Arabidopsis thaliana: one gene and its partner. The protein of the gene in region 2 interacts with the protein of the main gene of each other region in a biochemical or structural test. Each region holds a gene or a part of one and is shown on either strand. Other genes may lie near its edges.

The links.
Region 1: the proteins of PIP5K1 (region 2) and PI-4KBETA1 form a complex in vitro, tested with the Arabidopsis thaliana proteins (one study listed by BioGRID).

Annotation. Positions count from the first base shown.
Region 1 is NC_003076.8:25,641,446-25,646,375, forward strand, and holds the start of PI-4KBETA1 (phosphatidylinositol 4-OH kinase beta1), read right to left. Parts: upstream 3,034-4,930; 5' UTR 2,458-3,033; coding exon 901-2,457; intron 606-900; coding exon 414-605; intron 319-413; coding exon 270-318; intron 1-269. Other genes in the region: XYP1 (Bifunctional inhibitor/lipid-transfer protein/seed storage 2S albumin superfamily protein), read right to left, coding at 4,030-4,184, 4,556-4,582, 4,827-4,930. UniProt on the Arabidopsis thaliana protein: Acts on phosphatidylinositol (PtdIns) in the first committed step in the production of the second messenger inositol-1,4,5-trisphosphate. Necessary for proper organization of the trans-Golgi network (TGN) and post-Golgi secretion in root hairs.
Region 2 is NC_003070.9:7,732,628-7,739,276, forward strand, and holds PIP5K1 (phosphatidylinositol-4-phosphate 5-kinase 1), read left to right. Parts: upstream 1-2,033; 5' UTR 2,034-2,425; coding exon 2,426-3,522; intron 3,523-3,616; coding exon 3,617-3,781; intron 3,782-3,949; coding exon 3,950-4,115; intron 4,116-4,329; coding exon 4,330-4,440; intron 4,441-4,520; coding exon 4,521-4,714; intron 4,715-4,803; coding exon 4,804-4,934; intron 4,935-5,019; coding exon 5,020-5,113; intron 5,114-5,381; coding exon 5,382-5,682; 3' UTR 5,683-6,145; downstream 6,146-6,649. UniProt on the Arabidopsis thaliana protein: Catalyzes the synthesis of phosphatidylinositol 4,5-bisphosphate and phosphatidylinositol 3,4-bisphosphate.

The sequences.
Region 1 (4,930 bases), on a different chromosome or scaffold from region 2:
AAAATAAGTGATAAAAGAGCAAGGATGGAAAAACATAGATTCTTCAAACAAGAGTGGAAATAAATATGATATAACGGACATAATACTAATTTAAGACAAGCAACACGATGAGCACTCAGAAACTTTAACAGGGCATGAAACGTTCACATACTATTTCAGAGAAAAGCATACATGGCCTATAGAATATATACCGGCTCAATATATTTGAGCTACACATATAAAGTAGACCTCCAAATAATAACTCTTAAAATATAATTTTAGAAAAATACCTCCAGTGATTTCAGCTTCCGATAAATGAAAATTGATCTCTGCAAGAGACTAAAACCAAACAAAAGAAATATAAAATTTAGTCAGTTGCTACAAAGGTAGAATTTGACATAAATTTAATTATCAATAAGAAAAGTCAGTTTCACCTCCCGAAGACCAATCTTCCGATCTTCGATGGGAAAGATATCTACCAAACCATATGACGTTTCACATAACGCTTGTACAAACTCCAACGACTCGTGGTAAGCCCCTTTCCTGAATTGTGATGCAGTATTGTTTGGTAGCGGGGGCTTACCAGATGGAGTATCATCCCGCTGTTTAGGTGAGCCTGGCCGTTTCTGCAATGGTTATAATAAGAAACATTGGTATGAGATAATCAAGCTCATATGAAAGAAAAAAAGTCTGGCATAGATAAATAATCAATTGAAGTCGAACAACCACCCTGTTTCAGCCAACATTTGTGTCAAGTAAAATTCAAAAGAAGGAAAGACATATGATTGTATCCTACAAGAATCTTGATAAATGACTCTGAAGATGTGGATCAAATGAAAACTGAATGTCAAAACAGTGCAAATGCAACCAGTATATGCAATAAGACAGAAACACAAAAGACCAAGTCAAACGAGAACAAACCTCCTTGTGTTTCTTTGATCCAAACAGTTCAGAATCTTCAACAGATTGGTCACGATCTCTGAACAACTTGCGGAAAAAGTTTTCTGTCCCAGGACTGCTTTCAACTAAGCCATTGCTGCTATTTTCATTTTCTGAAGTAGGTTTTGCATCTTCGGGATGTATACGGAATAATCTTTTGAAAAGAGAAAATTCTGGAGATTCATCACCCTCACTTTCATTCCCGTCATCAACCTTGACAATGTCTTTCTTGTCATCAGATTTTTCCTTAAAGAATTTTTTGAAAAACCCCTCCCTCTCATCCTCTTCACCAGATTTCTTATCGGCATACACTGTTCCATTGGCTTCATTCTTTTCACTACCATGTCTTTTGTCATCATTTTTTTCCCTGAAAAGTTTCTTAAGGAACCCATCTTTGTCCTCATCATCCACTTCTTTAGGAACTTTATCATCTTCAGGTTTGCTGTCACGGAATAATTTCTTAAAAAAACCTTCTGAGTTTGGGTTTGACTCCTCGTCCTCGTTTTTACTCTCCCGTAACAATCTCTTGAAGAAACTGTCTGAATTTGCACCCAATTCCTCTTCATCTCCCTTATTATCTCGTAACAACCTTTTAAACAGCCCATCTGAACTCGATGTCAATTCCTCGCTTTCTCCTTTACTACTCAAGAGCCTCTTGAAGAACCCCTCGGAACTGTTTGTTATGTCCTCATCTTCTGATTTATTGTCTTTCAAAAGGCGCTTAAAGAAACCCTCTGAGTTAGGTATTGGTTCATCACCCTCACCTTTGCTGTCCCTCAAGAGCCTCTTGAAGAATCCTTCCTTTTCACTCTCTTCATCATCTTTGTCAGCTGACTTTCTAAACATTAAAGCATCTCTGACTTTAGGACTTGGGATAAGTTTCTTAAAAATCTTATTGTCCTCAGCAGGTAACTGACTACCATCATCCTGCACGTTGGTCCCTGGCGAAGGTGAGAATGACAAAGACTTCTGGGTGGGAGGAGATAGCTTTAAGGAGAAGAGCTTCTGTTTTGATGACAAAAGTCTATTTAGGACCTGATTCTTGCTCCCTGGGGTTGAGACCTCGTTCTGTGGACGCATGAGAGGAGACCACTCACCCATCAAAGTAGCTGCAATTTGACACTTCTCTTGAATCCTGCTGATGCCTTCATTATCGTCAGCATCCTCCAGCTCAGCCAACAAAAACCAATGCACTTTCAGTGCGATTTTCAGTGACTTTCCACAGATGTCTATAACAAACTTATCAAGCGATGGGCTTGGTTTGTGCACCATCATGTAGCAAATCTGGAAGAGATAACTCTCAATACCTGATAAGGGAAGCGTATACATCCTATTGCATAAGTAATCCCTAACACCAGCATGAGGGTGCTTGTACAGATAACTAACAGCAATCCACTCACAGAAGAAAGCAGAATCGAAAAACCTAATAAGCCAACCATTAGAACCAGTATCGCCGATGATATTACTCTGTGAGGTAATCTCACGAGGTGACTCAGCCGAGTCTCCTCGGACCAAAGATAGAAAGCGTCCCATCGGCATCCTAATCAGCCAAGCATAAAAAGCCCTAGCTCACAGACCCAAATCATCCGTCGAGACAACAGATCCAGGAGACTCTTCCAACAAACCAGATTAACGGAGCCTCTCTCTTCCCCAATAACTAAACCCTAGGATTACCCGTAAAACCTTAACTCAAAAAACCTATCTATAACCACCCAAAGCTCAAAATCTCAATGCCAAATCGACGAAATTTGGCTTTATAATGCTTAACTTTCCTAAATCGCGAAAAAAACACAGAAAATAGAGATTTCTCCGTATCCTACTCACTCCAATCGCCGTAAACCGAAGGCGATCGGAAATTTCTCCAGAATCCAAAACTAAATCTCACGTAGAGAACCAAGCGATGAGCTAATTAATCCCGTTCTTCCTGCTATCCGAGAAATTCTGCTTGTTAAAATTCAGAGCAGAATCAAGTAACAGAATTAGCCGGAGTAGATCGCCGTCGTCTCAGCCGGAAGCAGTTTGTGGTGGAAGATACGGTCGTCGTCCTCGGCTGTTGGTGGCAGACAGAGAGAGAGAGAGAGAGGGGAAAGTAATTATCGTTCGCAATACTTTTAAATTATTTTCATTTTTTTATTAATTTTAATTTTTTGGTTTTTAGTAATTCGTACTATTTAATTATTATTTTGGTTTGGCGAGGGAGGAGATCTAACGTGCGCTGGAAAGTCCACGCGATCATAATAAAGTTGAAAATCCTTGGTGGGAAGTAAACGTGATTTGTCCACAACGGGACACTTGGACAGTTGATTAACTTTTGTTGACAGTTGATTTTTCATTATTTTCTTTCAAAAGATTATTACTATTGAGATTTTGAATTTTGAATCTGATAAGCTAATTACAAGAAGTAATAATCTGATTTTTAAAAAATACGATATATATTTATATCTTTCACGATGCCACGAAACATTTTGTTTCCTTTCACTTTCACGTCTCTAATTTTCTTAACACATGCATTTCCTTTTCAGATGAAGAAATTTTGTACTCGTTTCATAGAACAAGTTGTAATTGGTACTATAGTCAAACTACACTGTAACAAAATATAAATATGATACTCTTGACAAAAAGTTGGGACTTACTTACTGACAATGACGATATTATGAGAAAATTTCATCTACTAAAATGATATCATATGATTTCCTGTATTTTATTACACAGTTTTTATGAGAAAATTAAAACGAAATTAAAGAATTTTGTTGTTAGTCATTGCAATATTACACCATAATTTTCTTAAAAAGAATATATAAATGTTACTTGTAGTATTTCTTTTTTGTATAGTGGACTTTGAGAATGTTTCTGCCTGAGCTTTTGGCGAATATAACTATGAGGGTGTGAGAGAAAACATAGATGAAGGAATAAGCGATAGATCGAATAAAAGGACCAATGTTGTGAGACAAAGTAATAACATAAACTAAAAGAGTAAACGCTAGTAATAGAGAAACCGATATGGTCTAAAAACAGAACACTCCAAAACATACATAGATTAACCCTAATAAAAACCATTAATCAATTTCATACAGCCAAATCTAGCTGGTGAAAAAAGATTCAGGTTTTTTTTTACGCACTAGAGAAGAACAAAACGAACAGTACGGCACTGAGTACAGTTGTGAACGAGGTCGGAATCAAAGAAGATCCATCGTTCCCTGAAGAAGGATTTGGAGCTAGAAATCCGGCTGTCTCAGGTCCAGCAGCAGCTACTCCTGGAGCAAGACCTGATAAAATTAGGTTCCACATTAAGAAATCTCAAAAGCGTAAAACATCTCAACGAGAAATCACATAACTAACATGGAGAAAAAGAGCAGAGATTTCCAATCACTCGAGCAAATTTTTACAAAGAAAATCACAAATAAGGAATTCACACAAATTTTTGTCATGGTTCGTATTAATTATAATTTTTTGTATTGTAGAATCTTAGATAAATCATTTTCACTTTAAGTGAGAACCCAGATGATCAAAGTCAAACAATCGACAATTTTTATCTTTTCAAAATTTTCAAGTGGGAATTTAAAAACACAATAAAGCATTGCATGAGACAAAACTTAAGAGTAAAATTAAAAATCAACCAAGAAGAAAGACAAAATACCTGGAGCAGTACTTGGAGCAACAGACACTGTAAGAACAAAAATAAAATAAAAAAGCATTATAAGTAATTTAATCAACATCAACAACAACAAAAAATAGAATCTTAAAACAGTTTCGAAAAATCTACAAATTATTTTCTTAATTAAACTGAAAAAATTAGAAAAAATGTGGATTTAAGAAACCGCTCTCGAAGATTAAGCATAACAAATTAAGATCTACAAAACCGGAAGAGATCTAAGAAACAAACAAGTTAAGAAATGAATAGATCTTACATCCACAAGTAGCGATAGAAGGAGCGTGAAGCTTGCATGCGGCGGGAAGAGTAGAAGCCTTAGTGATATTCAAAGTAACTCCAAGAGAAGCACTGCTCTTAAAC
Region 2 (6,649 bases):
CGAATTCTAAAAACGATAAATAAAACAAATTATGCTGAATATATCAAATATATGTATATGTATTTTTTTGCGTTAACTTAGCCAATTAAACACGTAACATTCGTGTTTAATGTTTTTAATTTGCCTAAGGCAATATTTTATTTTCGTCAAAAACAAGTAACCGAAGACACTTGTTTCTTTCGAAATCAGTACTCAATAAAATAAAGTTTTGTGTAAGACTAATTTTAGAGATTCTCTTAGTAGTTGACCAAAAAAAAACAAAGATGTTTTACATCAGATTCGAAGTACCACAGTTTATAAGTATGCCAATACGTGTGATTGAATACATCAATATAATTAGATCTTATCTTACATATTTGTGGACAATTAAGTCGGTATTTCGCTAAGAATGTTTTTTTTTTTTGCAAATCAAAATGTGTATTCTATGACAATATAAAAATCATATACACAAATAAATGATGGCTAGGAATCGAAAAAGATGTGTCCTCGTGGGTTTTTAGAATTGAAAGCGTCAAAAAAGAAACACTAGAGCTTTCAGATTTCAAGTATACAGCGAAGAGTAATGAGATGCCTTGAATATGGAATGGGAAAGTATCTCAGTATGGCGTAGAGTACCAACGCGTTATGGTGTATGAATGGGAAAAAATACATTCATTCAACCATATTTTATACTCCTAATATTTATATTTATTCGTATCGTGTGATTTTTTCATTAATGTGGACAAAAGTTATTGAGTACTTTTAGGTTTTAACTGGGGATCCACCCCCAGCATTAACGTCGGCTTCGAGTACCGAAATAAAATAAACGGTGTAGTAATGACGAAATAACATAAATAAGTGTCGAATAGCTCCAACACGTAGAACAAACGCAAGAAAACAAATGTTAAATGGTCAGTTTATGAAGATATAAAAACAAGGAGTATCAAACTTGAATTAAGGTTTTAAGAACATTTTGAGTGATTCAATTGCTTCTTTTATACAAAAAGTTTAAACTCAGATTACGTACGCCCACGTTCCCTTGAAGTATATTTTTAATTTTTCCTAATGCGGTTGTAATATATTTTTATAAAGATTTTAATTAAATGGTGATCAAATGTGTTAGATACTCTAACCACCACAGCCGTGGTAACTAACCACTGACCACTCGTACGTATAATACAATTTTAGAAATATACATACTTAATATGTGGTGTATTAGGTATTTTTGTAGCATTTTTTTTTGTTAAAATGTTACACGTTTGAATTATGAAGTTTACGTGCACGGTCGCAACTCGCAATATAGTTTTTATGATGTTTGTGGTTATTCGAATGACAATCATGTCCTACTACTAGCACTTCAAATCAAAGTACACGAACCTATAGCCTATAGGATGATGTATGTCTATTTATGCGAAACCAAACTATAAAAAATCTCGATTATTTATCAAATAAAATATTAGACCTAATTTACAAATGGCGGACAAAAACTCAACTTTAAAATGTAAACCTTTGGCACTATCAATATCAACATAAAAACGTTAAAAAAATAACGCAACTTTAGAATTTCATATACTACTTGCATCAACCATCTTCTGTATCTATCACTATCCGTATGGGAATATAAGTATCCTTTAAATTAATAAATCATCGCAAGTAGGAAGAGAATCAATACTCGAAAAGATATAAAAAAAACCCACCAAGACAACGATCATCTAATCACAGAAGAGAACAAAATTCTTAGAATCATAAAAGTAATTAATTAAGTAAGTCATCAAAGACAATCACCTGGAAACTCGCTTCCTAATCAAGATTTCTCGATAATCCTCTCAATCATAATCATTTCTCTACTATCAATAAAATAAGTAAACAAAGGTAGACCATAAACTAATCATTTGGTCTTCTACTATTAACGTATGAAGTAGCCCATACTATATCATATCGCTTTAAATTATACAAAGACAAATTCGAAACAATCTCGAGTACGTATGTATTATTAATTTTATGTTTACACTACGGTGTCGTTTTCAAATTTTTAATAATATTGTGGGTTTCTTTTTCGGGCTGGTGGGCTTTTTGTGTCCGCTTCCCAATACTTTTATTTTATAAATTAAAAATTAATCATCGTCTCTCTTGTGTCTCTCTGTTCATCACTTTTCTTCTTTTGATGTTCTTGTAGCGTCTGTACGAAATCTCACAAGGTTTCTTCTTCTCAGATTTAGAAATACTTGTGTGATATCTTCTGAGTAACCAAATTCTTGATAAAGTTTCTAGCTTTATTCAAACCCATTTGAAAAATCCGGTGGTGAATCGCCGGAGAAATGTGTTTTTCGTTTCTCCACTGAGTTTTTTTTGTTAAGAAATCTGTTAAAACTCTAGATTTCAAACGAATGACATTTTCTGAGATTGAGGAACATTGTGAATCGAGGACTGGAGTGAAGATTCTCTGATGAGTGATTCAGAAGAAGACGAAGAAGAAGAAGAAGCTAGTGAAGTCATTTTAAGCAGCGTCGTTCAGAAGAAGAAGAAGAAGAATCTGCGTTTCGGTGAAGAAGTAGAGAGACGAGACGGTTTGGTGTTGTTAGCTCAATCTACTCCAATGGTGAGATCGAGATCTCAAGGAACGACTCGGCGCGTGACTCCCACGCCTTTAGTAGATGTTGAGAAGCCGCTACCAAACGGAGATCTTTACATCGGAAGTTTCTCCGGTGGGTTTCCACATGGATCCGGGAAGTATCTATGGAAAGATGGGTGCATGTACGAAGGAGATTGGAAACGAGGGAAAGCTTCAGGGAAAGGCAAATTCTCATGGCCAAGTGGAGCTACTTACGAAGGTGAATTCAAATCTGGGAGAATGGAAGGTTTTGGTACTTTCACTGGAGCTGATGGAGATACTTATAGAGGAACTTGGGTTGCTGATAGAAAACACGGACATGGACAAAAGCGTTATGCAAATGGAGATTTTTATGAAGGTACTTGGAGAAGGAATCTACAAGATGGTAGAGGTAGGTATGTGTGGAGAAATGGGAATCAGTATACTGGAGAGTGGCGTAGTGGTGTGATTTCTGGGAAAGGTTTGCTTGTTTGGCCTAATGGGAATCGATATGAAGGTTTGTGGGAGAATGGGATTCCTAAAGGGAATGGTGTGTTTACTTGGAGTGATGGGAGTTCTTGTGTTGGTGCTTGGAATGAGAGTAATATTATGAGGAGTTTCTTTAATGGTGTTGAGAAGAATGATTTGATTGTGGGGAATAGGAAGAGATCTTCTGTTGATAGTGGAGCTGGGAGTTTGGGAGGTGAGAAAGTTTTTCCAAGAATCTGTATTTGGGAATCTGATGGTGAAGCTGGAGATATCACTTGTGATATTATTGATAATGTTGAAGCTTCCATGATTTATAGAGATAGGATCTCTGTTGATCGTGATGGGTTTAGGCAGTTTAAGAAGAATCCTTGTTGGTTTAATGGTGAGGCTAAGAAACCTGGACAGACTATTTCTAAAGGGCATAAGAAATATGATTTGATGCTGAATTTGCAATTAGGAATCAGGTAAATATCTCAAATTTGGTGGATTGGTGTTTTTGTTTGGTGTGTGATGGCTTTCTCTGTTGTTTCTAATGAAGGTTGTGTGTGATTGAATTAGGTATTCTGTTGGCAAACATGCTTCGATTGTTCGTGATCTTAAACAGACTGATTTCGATCCAAAGGAGAAATTTTGGACAAGGTTTCCACCAGAAGGGACTAAGACAACACCGCCGCATCAGTCAGTGGATTTCAGGTGGAAGGATTATTGCCCTTTAGTGTTCAGGTAACTTTTTAGCTTTTTTATTTTTATGAAAAGTGTTTCAATTTAGCAAATTGCTGAATGCGTTTTAAGTTTGATGATGTGGCTATACCCAAATTTGGGCTTAGTTGATAAGATTGTGGACGTATTTGTGATGAATTGTGTTTCTTTTTGGGCAAATTTTGTTTGTAGACGTCTCAGGGAGCTTTTCCAAGTGGATCCAGCTAAGTATATGCTAGCTATATGTGGAAATGATGCTCTCCGCGAACTATCTTCACCTGGAAAGAGTGGAAGCTTTTTTTACCTAACTCAAGATGATAGATTTATGATCAAAACGGTGAAGAAATCAGAAGTCAAGGTTAGTAGTTGTTGGCTCTTCTTGTTTTTGACCTTTCTCTTGTCATATTTGAAAATGCTTGTCTGTTCAAGTTAATTTACTTGATTAGCGGATGGGACACCCTTTTTGTTTGTTTGTTTCTTTGCTTTCACATTACTTTCTCAATCATAAACTCCACTAAGTCTGTGATTAGCTAAAGAAATTTGACCTGAAGTGTTTGTCTTCTTCTATCCAGGTTCTTCTAAGAATGCTTCCAAGTTACTACAAACATGTCTGCCAATACGAAAACTCCCTTGTGACTAGATTCTACGGTGTTCATTGTGTCAAACCTGTTGGTGGCCAAAAGGTATGTGTTTGTTCATCTAAAGCTTCATGGGTCTCTTAGTGTCAAGAAAATTTACTGTTTTGTTTACCATTTTTGATCAGACTCGGTTTATCGTTATGGGAAACTTATTCTGCTCCGAGTATAGAATCCAGAGACGGTTTGACCTCAAAGGGTCTTCTCATGGGCGTAGCACTGCAAAGCCTGAAGGAGAAATTGATGAGACCACGACTCTCAAGGACCTTGATCTCAATTTTTCTTTCCGTCTTCAGAGAAACTGGTATCAAGAGCTTATGAAGTAAGCTCCATGCTTCTCACTATTTTTTGCGTATGCAAAGTATTCAGCTACCTAAACATATGCTAATGCTGATCGGTATTCATGATCAGGCAAATAAAACGCGATTGTGAGTTCTTGGAAGCAGAGAGAATAATGGATTATAGCCTTTTAGTTGGTGTTCACTTCCGTGATGACAACACAGGAGAAAAGATGGGGCTTTCTCCATTCGTTTTGAGATCTGGTAAATTATACATCATTGATCATTCTCTATATGTGTCCCCCCGCTGAAGTCGACCTATCGTGAGATTTATGTCAATCTTATGCAGGTAGGATAGATTCATATCAGAATGAAAAATTCATGCGCGGTTGTCGCTTCCTAGAGGCAGAACTTCAAGACATGGACCGGATTTTAGCTGGCAGGTAACAATCATTGATCCGGGTTTCATTTTTAATGTTAAGAAGTTGACTTCACAGAGGAAGCTTTTTGCATTCATAGCCATTGAGACATGAAGTGGTTGAGAGATTCAATTTCGGATTAAGTATATAATATATGTAGGAATGATTAAATGTGCTTGGCAATCTTGTGTGGGGAGTGTTTAAACAAGTCATGTGGTCCTGTTTGCTAGAAAAGAATCAATCAATTCATGATCCATCAATTTTTGCTTAATATTCAATCTTGTGTTAACAGGAAACCATCGATCAGATTAGGCGCAAACATGCCAGCAAAAGCTGAACGAATGGCCCGGAGAAGCGATTTTGATCAGTATTCATCAGGAGGAGCCAGTTATCCATCACACGGTGAGATGTACGAAGTTGTTCTCTACTTTGGAGTCATTGACATCTTGCAAGACTACGACATAACCAAAAAGATCGAGCATGCGTATAAGTCACTGCAAGCCGATCCTGCTTCGATCTCAGCTGTTGATCCTAAACTCTATTCAAAGAGGTTCAGAGACTTCATCAGTAGGATCTTCATTGAAGAGGGCTAAAGACAAGAAGGCTAAAGTTTTTAACTAACATTCTCGGCTCTACGGAAATGTGAAGAAAGCTGCGCGGGAAGAGTAAAAAGGTAAATCTCAAGGATAGAAGAAAAGCGATTTCGGAATTTTATGTTTATATATTTTGAGATGACCAATCAAGTTTTTGGGTTGGGGAGGGGCTTTATTTATTTTTGTGGTGAGCCGTTTATATATATAATATTTATATATGTGAATATAGATTGAAGGTTTTAGTACATAGGCAGACAAGAAATTACAAGGAAAAAAGGGTTTGGTAAATTCCGAAAATGTGGAATAAAGTAAAGTGTACAAGTAAAAAAATGAAAGATAGTAATACCATTAATTAGTTCTCTTAATCCCATATTCTCATAGGATCCCTCCTTAACCATCCAAAGTTAAGGGGTCCATTATTTTGTTGTTGTTTATTTTCTTTCAATACAACTTTACCACTTGCATAATCTATGAACCTAAAGCAATGTCAATGGTAAACAGTAAATGCTAAAATAGTTGATTAGTAAAATAGTATATGGTCAAAGAAGGAAGAGTTGAATTGGGGTTGGTTTCATGAAAAGTAGATAAAGCTAAACTAGCACACCACATGTCTTTTCTTTGCATTCTTTTTGTCTAAATCTCTTAAGTCTAGTTTTTTTCATATGTGATAGCTTCACAAAGTATAAGACTGTTATTCAAATTAAAGTCTTAGATCTTTTAATAAAAACTAAAAGTCTAAGAAGCCTGAAACGGTTTGTTTATCTATGAATTCATTTAATTACGCTTGGATTCTGATCAACAATCCATTGCATCATCGTTAATTCTCAAAAAAACTAAAACTGGTTTTTTCAGACTTGACATGGTTTTATATTTTGTTTACATTAAAAGAATTTGTATATTTTTTCTTTCCAAAGTAAACAGTAGTGAGTAGACAATTATTGTTTTTCATTAAGTTTAATACTTTCTA